Linked DNA regions of Oryzias latipes. The protein of the gene in region 1 purifies or fractionates together with the protein of each later gene. This does not show direct contact. Links are inferred from orthologs where the notes say so. Each region holds a gene or a part of one and is shown on either strand. Other genes may lie near its edges.

Region 1 (4,163 bases):
CCTCTTGACTCCCTACACTTCTGCACGTTCATTGGCTTATATGCCTGGGTGTGTTTTATTGGGTTTTACCTGTTTAAGACCTTCTGTGCCATTCTGTGTTCATTTTCTTATTTTATATTGTTTTAACATTGTAAAGTGAAAAAAGTGCTCTATAAACAAAGATTTACTTACTTTAAAGATTTACTTTTTTTACTCAACTTTAAAACTTTTATTAAAGTCACTGTTCACTTTTCTTTACGAACTGCCACCTCCTTAGATACATGGAGAAGGATGCTGCACAAACAGACACATACAGAGGATGTTGCAGTCTCCCCCAATCCCTCTACATCATCAGGAAAGTCATCTTCTCTCTTTGCTCTCCAAAAACTGTAACCATGGAGCGCCACCTTGTGGAGATTGGTTTTCAACTTTTTGGCAAAAACAGGAAAAGCTGAATACTTAACAGTTCACAAAGTATGTAATAAATCCCACATTTATATGTTAATTGGGAATTTTTTTGTTTTATTTGGAAGGTTTTATCTCTGGAACTTCTAAAGTGTGATATAATGTCGAAAATATTCCTCTTGAAGGCCCCTCTTTTTGTCCTGAAAAGATGCTCATTACCAGATTTAGAGGTCAAGACATAATTCAAACTGATATTCAGTTCTCAAATCACAATTCAGTTTGTAATTTGATCATGCAGTTTGAAAAGGCATTTTACAGTTGACATTTCAATACGAAAATCAGGCTTGCAATTTGGAAAAATGCATTTTCGCATTGCGTGATCAAATTGCGAACTGAATTGTGATTTGAGAACTGAATATCAGTTGGAATATTGTGTGAAAAAATACTTTCCCTACGCTGGCTGAAATGTGACAGGCTTTCTTTAAAAGTGATTGTTGCTCCAGTCCCATTGGGATTCAGTGTAAGTAAAAGTTGACTGTTCATTTTTAAGGTAGTTATGCTAATAACTTGAGTAAAAAATGTCAAATTCGAGCAAAGATTTTTGCATTATAAAAAAACATTTTTATAAGGTTTAGAACTGTAGATGTTAATTGGCCTAAGGTTATAAATTGTCAACATTTATTTTTGGCATTGAACTAAGCTCAAATAACGTGGTAGAAGATAAAACAAAATCTCAAATGATATTTTTTATTTGCTTTTACTTTGAAAGGAGTTAACAACATGTAATACGGTGTTAAATACCTGCTGGTGACATCGTCATTCACTCCTCCTTCGCTTCTATTTATTTTTACCCTTTTATTTTTACATGTTAAAAAATATGTATATGAACCTTTTTTCATACAAATATGTTTTAAAAAAAATGTTATTTCATATTTTGTTCTTAAAACCTCGAATGGGAGTTTTATTTTAAAAATACAAACCGGAAGTTCCGGTCTGGGTAAAAAACCGTACGGCGTTAGCTAGCGTTTAGCTACAAATCGGTGGCAGGTGAGCTCACTTCATGAGTAAATTATTACTCATAGTAAAGAGGTTTTCTAACTACCTTATTAGTCATAGCACAGATTAAAACTGTGATAAATATATTAACTCTTTCGCTAAACTTGTCATCTCTTTTTAAAACAGCCTGCTGTCGCCAAGCGAAAGAAAGAAGAAGAAGTAGCAAGAGCCTGAATGGCTGAGGGCTCCTCAGGTGAGCGACCAGCCATAAAATCATTTCCAGATATCTTACAGCTGTCTTAAACCGTTCATAGAATTAAGTTAACTTTAAATAAGGGTCTATATGTAATTTTGTTTTAGCTTTTGAGCTAGTTGTGCTAACCGGCTAATATTAGCTAACAACAAAGTTTACTAGTTCGTGGACTAGATCATTTGTTGGTGATTTTTCTGGTTTTATAATTTATACGTCTGTCAACCAGAGACAAAGTTACGTAACATCATCATGTGAACTTAGAACATTATTCTGTTGACCTGTGACAGGAGCTAAAGAACATGTCACTCCTTTAGCTTTATATTTAGGGACTTTAAACTTTTGTTAACCAGGTTTTTCACACGTTAGTGTCTGATTCTGGTTTATTTGTTTTGATATTCAATGTTCCAAATCTTTATTTAAAACAACAACGTTTCCATTCTGGGTTGAGGATTCATCCGAATCCGTTAGTTTTCCTGATTAACTTTTACAAAAGTAAAAGTACTCTACAGTGATGGCATACTTTATACTATTACTTGGATATATTTATGTTTAGGGGAAAATTAGTGTATTTAAAAAAATAAAAAAGAATTCTTTTTTTTTTTTTGCATGAAATGTAGTATTTATTGTAAACATCATTAAAAGTCATATTGTTACAAAGAAGTCCTTCTATCCAGTATCTTAGCAAATGGACAGATTTTACGGTTACAGCCGAGCTTATGCAGTGTATTCATAAAAAACTCAACACGCATGTCAGTATAAAACCTCTTTTTTTGTTTTGTTTTTTTTGTTGCTTTTATTGAAATTTGTTTTTCTTTATGCTCCAAACTGGATGAAAGATTGTGAGAGATACAGTATATATAGTTATAGAAAAATTGAGGGACAGAAAACAAAAAAAGGACGACATTCATAAATTTCATAAATCCACAACAGTATTTTAATTTTTTTAAATACATTTTAGGCTTTGATATATATAGTCAGTTATCGCTGTGGGCTCAAATGGTCATATTTTCGATTTGCAGACCCACAAAATTTCAACCAAGATGGGTCGTCCCTTCAGAAAACGCACCAGCAAAGATCCAGAAGAGGCCGCCCTCGAAACAATGGTAGAAATCTGAGCTGTAATTATGAAGAAACATCCCAACACTTTGGACACTTTTTTGAAGGGTTTGAACATAACTCTAATTATGTTGAAGCCCACAATCCTCCATTTCGAGGGGAGGATACAGCTCAAAGGAGAGGCAGAGGTCGAGGAAGGAGAGAAGGAGACAGAGGTTTGAATGGAAATCCGGATGCCTCTGGTTCATGGTGGCAAAGATCTGGTCATGAGTTTGGACAGCATGGTTCAGGCAGCAGGTATGCAGGTAGCCATCAGTCTGGTGCACATCCTATGGATGGATCTGATGGATCCAACAGGCGGGGTGTTAACAGAAATTTGGAGAAAGGCTATGAACAGTGGGATTCTCATTTTAAAAAGAACAGAAATGTTGAGCAGAGGAGAGCAGAGCAGAGGGAGAGAGGCGATCATTTTAAAGCAGCTGATCAAAGGCACGGCACCAAAGGAGAAACCACTGAAAGGACTCAGGAGAGCAAGTCGGGCCCTAAACGTCACTATCATGAGACCCAGAAAAAAGAGGTTGAAGTTAAACGGCGCCAAGGACCAATCAAACCCCCCAAACCCCCAAGTCAAGAAATAGATGGCCGTGAGAGGGGGGCCAATGCTCGGCTCGACTCCGATCAGAGCCGACCTGCTCAGGATTCAAGGGGTCCACCTCCTCCGGCCAAAGGGGGTAAAAGATTTAACCAACGAAGCCACAAGCCAGGCCGGCAGAGCTGGGAGCAGGTGCCAAAGAGCAAAGAGACTCAGACTGGTGAGATTGCAGCTTTTGTGGTTGTTTGGTCTTAAATTCGATCAAAGTTGTGCCCGGGTGGATCCACTCTTGAGAACGTTTTTCATTGGTTTAAAAAATCTGCTGGTCTGAGCCGCTGGAGTCTCCTGACCCCGATGCTCTGGTTCCTCCACAGGCTGCCTGATTGAACAGCTGACAGAGGAGAACTACGAGTGCATGGTGTGCTGTGACGTCATCAGGGTCATGGCCCCGGTGTGGAGCTGCCAGAGCTGCTTCCACGTCTTCCACCTGAACTGTATCAAGAAATGGGCTCGATCCCCGGCCTCACAGGCGGACGGTATGACCGTTACCCATGTGTGCTCTTAGTCTGCGGGGTCAACTGTCAACATTTATTTCTTTTCACTTTTTTAAGTGCAAAACATTTTGTTTCATGGTTAAAAATGCTTGTTGGAATTGATGGCTTTCAGATTCGACTGAAGGCTGGCGCTGTCCAGCCTGCCAGAACGTAGCACTGAAAAGCCCTGCGTCCTACACCTGCTTCTGTGGTGAGTGTTAGTTTCATTTATGCAAATGAAAACTCTTCTGGCAGCCCATTATTCAAAAACGCTCGTTTGAGCATCTGAGCCTCAGAGCGAAAAGCAATTGAAAGTGATTTTGTTGTTGTTTTGGCAGGTAAAGTGACA
Region 2 (3,500 bases), on another chromosome or scaffold:
ACGGCTGTTAACCTGAGGGTTTCTGCTGCAGGCTCCTCCAGAGGATCCTCTCCAGTGCGGGCCAAGCCTGACCCAGACACCTCCAACCTCAAATCCATGCCCAAGGGCCTCTCTGCCAGCCTCCCTGACCTGGACTCTGAGTCCTGGATCGAGGTGAAGAAGAGGCCCCGACCGTCTCCCGCCAGACCCAAGGTCAGCTCAGAACGTCACGTCTTCACACGGAGCTCAGAGTTAAAGCTACAGCTCCACAGATTGATCTCAGAACCAAACCACATCCATCCATCCAGTCAGGTGTTGACAGAATCTGCTCTCACCATTCCTCTTCATCTCCTCTCCCTCCTCTTTTTGTGATGGAAGCAGGCCCCTTCGGTGCAGCAGCAGAAGGAAAAAGACGAAGTGGTTCGATCCCCGGTTCCCCCGCCCGGCTCCTCGCCGTCCCGCACTACCTCAGGAAACAAGGTGAGCCGCTCACCTGCACGGATCTGCAGGGGTTTTGGACCAGTTCTGGTTCTGTTTAGAGCTGTAGGTTTAATGGTCACATGTCCATCAACAGGCCACGCCCCTCCGTGGACACGTGTGTTTTTTAAAGGTCAAATTTAAAATAGGGCTTCAAAACATTATTACAGAATAAACTATATTTGTGAAACAAGCCACCTGGTGGTGACTTGATGGAATTACCTGATTATAGAGTTTAGTTTTAAAGCTGGGATTTCATCCTGAAGTTAGACAGTTTTTAGCAGTTTTTAAAATAGTTTACAAAGAGTTTGAAAATCCTGACAGTCTGTTGATGAATGAAAGTAACTGAGTATCGTGTTTGTTTGTGGGGTCAGGACGGAGCCGAGCAGGACGAACCAGAGGAGCTGGACTTCATGTTCGACGAAGAGATGGAGCAGATGGACGGACGCCGCAACACCTTCACCGACTGGTCAGACGAAGAGACGGACGGCGAGCTGGATGACCAGGACGTCAACAAGATCCTGATCGTCACGCAGACGCCGCCCTACCTGCGGAAGCACCCAGGCGGCGACCGCACCGGACACCACACGTCGCGCGCCAAGCTGACCAACGAGCTGGTCAAGGTCATCAACGACGGGCTCTTCTACTACGAGCAGGACCTGTGGGACGCCCCCTATGAGCCGGAGTACGCCACCATCAAGGTGAGGCGGCTTTATGGTGGTGAAAAGGGAAAAAGAGCAGAGTCATGCATGGAGGCCTTCCAGCGGTGGCTCTCCTTCAGTTGCAGCTTTTTCTGGATCCGGACCCAAAGCAGAGCACAGAAGCTGCCTTTTTGTCCGCTTTTTTGTTGCCGCTGCCGCCCATTGTTGCATTGTTGGGCTCTGTGTGGGACCTTCACGCGCTCGCCAACACACATCCAGCAGCCTGTGGAACACACGCCGCTCGTTTATAAATAGACCCCAAACGGCGGGGTGCCAGGGGGGAGGCAAAGATGGCCGCGGACCGATCCCTGGAGAGTCTCTGGAAAGAGAGGCCGAGTATGAGTGTGAGTGGAGCTGCTGCTCTCAGGACAGACGGGTTTGTGTGGAGCTGCTGTTTGTGGCGATATGAGGGTGAAACGCTTCTTTAAGGCCGCCATGTTCTGCTGCTGCCTGTCTGTCTCCAAACTTCTGCGGATGAGGTCCGCCGACGGAGATTCCCCTTCCGCCGCTGCCGGTCGCTTCCTCCGCTCCCTCTACTCACGCTGCGGGTTTCTGTCTTTTCTTTGCTTCCAGCAAGAGGTGGAGAACTTCAAGAAGGTCCACCTGATCAGCCGGGAGCAGTTCGACTGCCTGACCCCAGAACCCCCCGTCGACCCCAACCAGGAAGTCCCCCCCGGACCCCCGCGCCCCCAGCAGAGTAAGCAAACCCAGACAAAATCAGCAGATTATGTTTTACTAAAAGCTTTAAACTAAAATCTGTTTTGACCAGGACAATAGTTTCTCCTTTTTTTTTTATTTAGGAGAAATTTAGGTTTTTAATCTTTTTTTAAAAACAGATTGAGGTGCAAAGCAGTTAGAAAAAAATCAAAAAAAAGTGACAAGATTTCGACACAGAAACCTGAAACTACTAACTTTGTTAATATATTATTATGTAAATATTGCATTTTCTAAAAACAGATTCAAGTCGAACTCAAAACTAATCATGTTTTTGTAGTTTTAACATGTTCTGATGGCATCTTTCCGATGATGGAGGACAAATGTTAATGTCTTTATTTAATCTAAATGTTATGTCTTTATGGGTAAGGAAGTGTTCTCCCTGAAGCTTAAATTCTGATGCTTCCACTTGTAAACCAATGTAAGTCTTTGTTTTTTCTCGTCTCCGCTTGAATCTGTTGCTCTGCAGAAACTATGTCCTAGAAAACGTCTTTGCGTATTTAATTTTGGCTAAAAACAGGTTAATCATAATTATAAAACCACTGGGAACGCTTTGAAAATAGATCAAATCATGACTGGAGTGGGACTTTGACGGTGTGCAGCCTCTTGTTTTTCAGTCATTCATTGACATAAACGCTTAAATGACACAAATAAAGTTCATAGTTTCACTTTCTGATTCCCAGGAACAAAAATTAAAGCTGTCATTTACTCTACTTCAGCTTTCAAAATGATTAAAGAGTAGTTTTTGAAATGGGGTCACATTTATCAGAGTGCTCCTCCTCATCGGCGGCGTGTCGTTCTTCTCTCTGCAGTTTAAAGCTCACTTCTTTAGCGTCTCGTCGTGTTTCAGTCCCCACAGATGCTTTGGCAAACAAACTTTTCGGCGCCCCTGAACCCTCCTCAATGGCCCGCTCGCTACCCACAACCGTGCCTGACTCGCCAAACTACCGGACGCCGCGGACTCCTCGCACGCCGCATCGTAAGGACCCCACCATGACGCCTCGCTTCTACCCGGTGGTGAAGGAGAGCCGGCCTGTCGACGCCAAGGTGAGACGGCGGGGGCAGGTGGGGTTGATGTGAGGAGGTTTCCCGAGGGGAACTCCTTCACTCACGCTTCAGAGTCTTCCTCTTCCAGACTCCCAGGAAGAGGAAGACCAGGCACAGCTCCAACCCCCCCATGGAGTGCCACGTGGGCTGGGTGATGGACTCCAGAGAGCACCGGTCCCGCACCGCCTCTGTCAGGTGAGTTGCAGAGGAAGCATCATGGTATGGGACTGCTGAGTCTTTCTATCCACCAGCAGATCTTTTTTTTCGTTCAATTATGCTGGACTTATTTTTCTATAAAGGTTTAAACAAGAGAGAAAATTGTGAAAACGTTTTTCTGTCTGAGAAGAGCCCGTCAAGCGTGTAGCGGCGGCTTCTACAGCCTTAAAACAGACTAAATGAGGGAACGGTGTGTTCACAAAGGATTCTATTCCTGGTTATTCCAGTCACATGACTTGGTCAGGACACTCAACATGTGGTGGTTTTTGTGTAGAATGTTGTGTTGAAAACGGACCAAAGCTCTGTAGAAGGAAATGGATCGTTGAAGAAATGCATCATGGGAAGCTTGGTGTTTCGTCATTCTGG

The links. The genes of interacting proteins can lie anywhere in the genome.
Region 2: the proteins of nfx1 (region 1) and larp1 purify together in Homo sapiens (affinity purification with mass spectrometry, with the first as the bait; 3 studies listed by BioGRID). This does not show direct contact. The link is inferred for Oryzias latipes from reciprocal best matches to the Homo sapiens genes NFX1 and LARP1.

The regions. Positions count from the first base shown.
Region 1 is NC_019878.2:21,136,077-21,140,239, forward strand, and holds the start of nfx1 (transcriptional repressor NF-X1), read left to right. Parts: upstream 1-1,363; 5' UTR 1,364-1,431; intron 1,432-1,437; exon of another isoform or gene 1,438-1,566; 5' UTR 1,567-1,614; coding exon 1,615-1,633; intron 1,634-2,652; coding exon 2,653-3,501; intron 3,502-3,655; coding exon 3,656-3,817; intron 3,818-3,947; coding exon 3,948-4,025; intron 4,026-4,152; coding exon 4,153-4,163. UniProt on the Homo sapiens protein: Binds to the X-box motif of MHC class II genes and represses their expression. May play an important role in regulating the duration of an inflammatory response by limiting the period in which MHC class II molecules are induced by interferon-gamma.
Region 2 is NC_019872.2:3,472,917-3,476,416, forward strand, and holds part of larp1 (la-related protein 1), read left to right. Parts: intron 1-31; coding exon 32-192; intron 193-360; coding exon 361-459; intron 460-830; coding exon 831-1,157; intron 1,158-1,730; coding exon 1,731-1,854; intron 1,855-2,721; coding exon 2,722-2,918; intron 2,919-3,006; coding exon 3,007-3,113; intron 3,114-3,500. UniProt on the Homo sapiens protein: RNA-binding protein that regulates the translation of specific target mRNA species downstream of the mTORC1 complex, in function of growth signals and nutrient availability.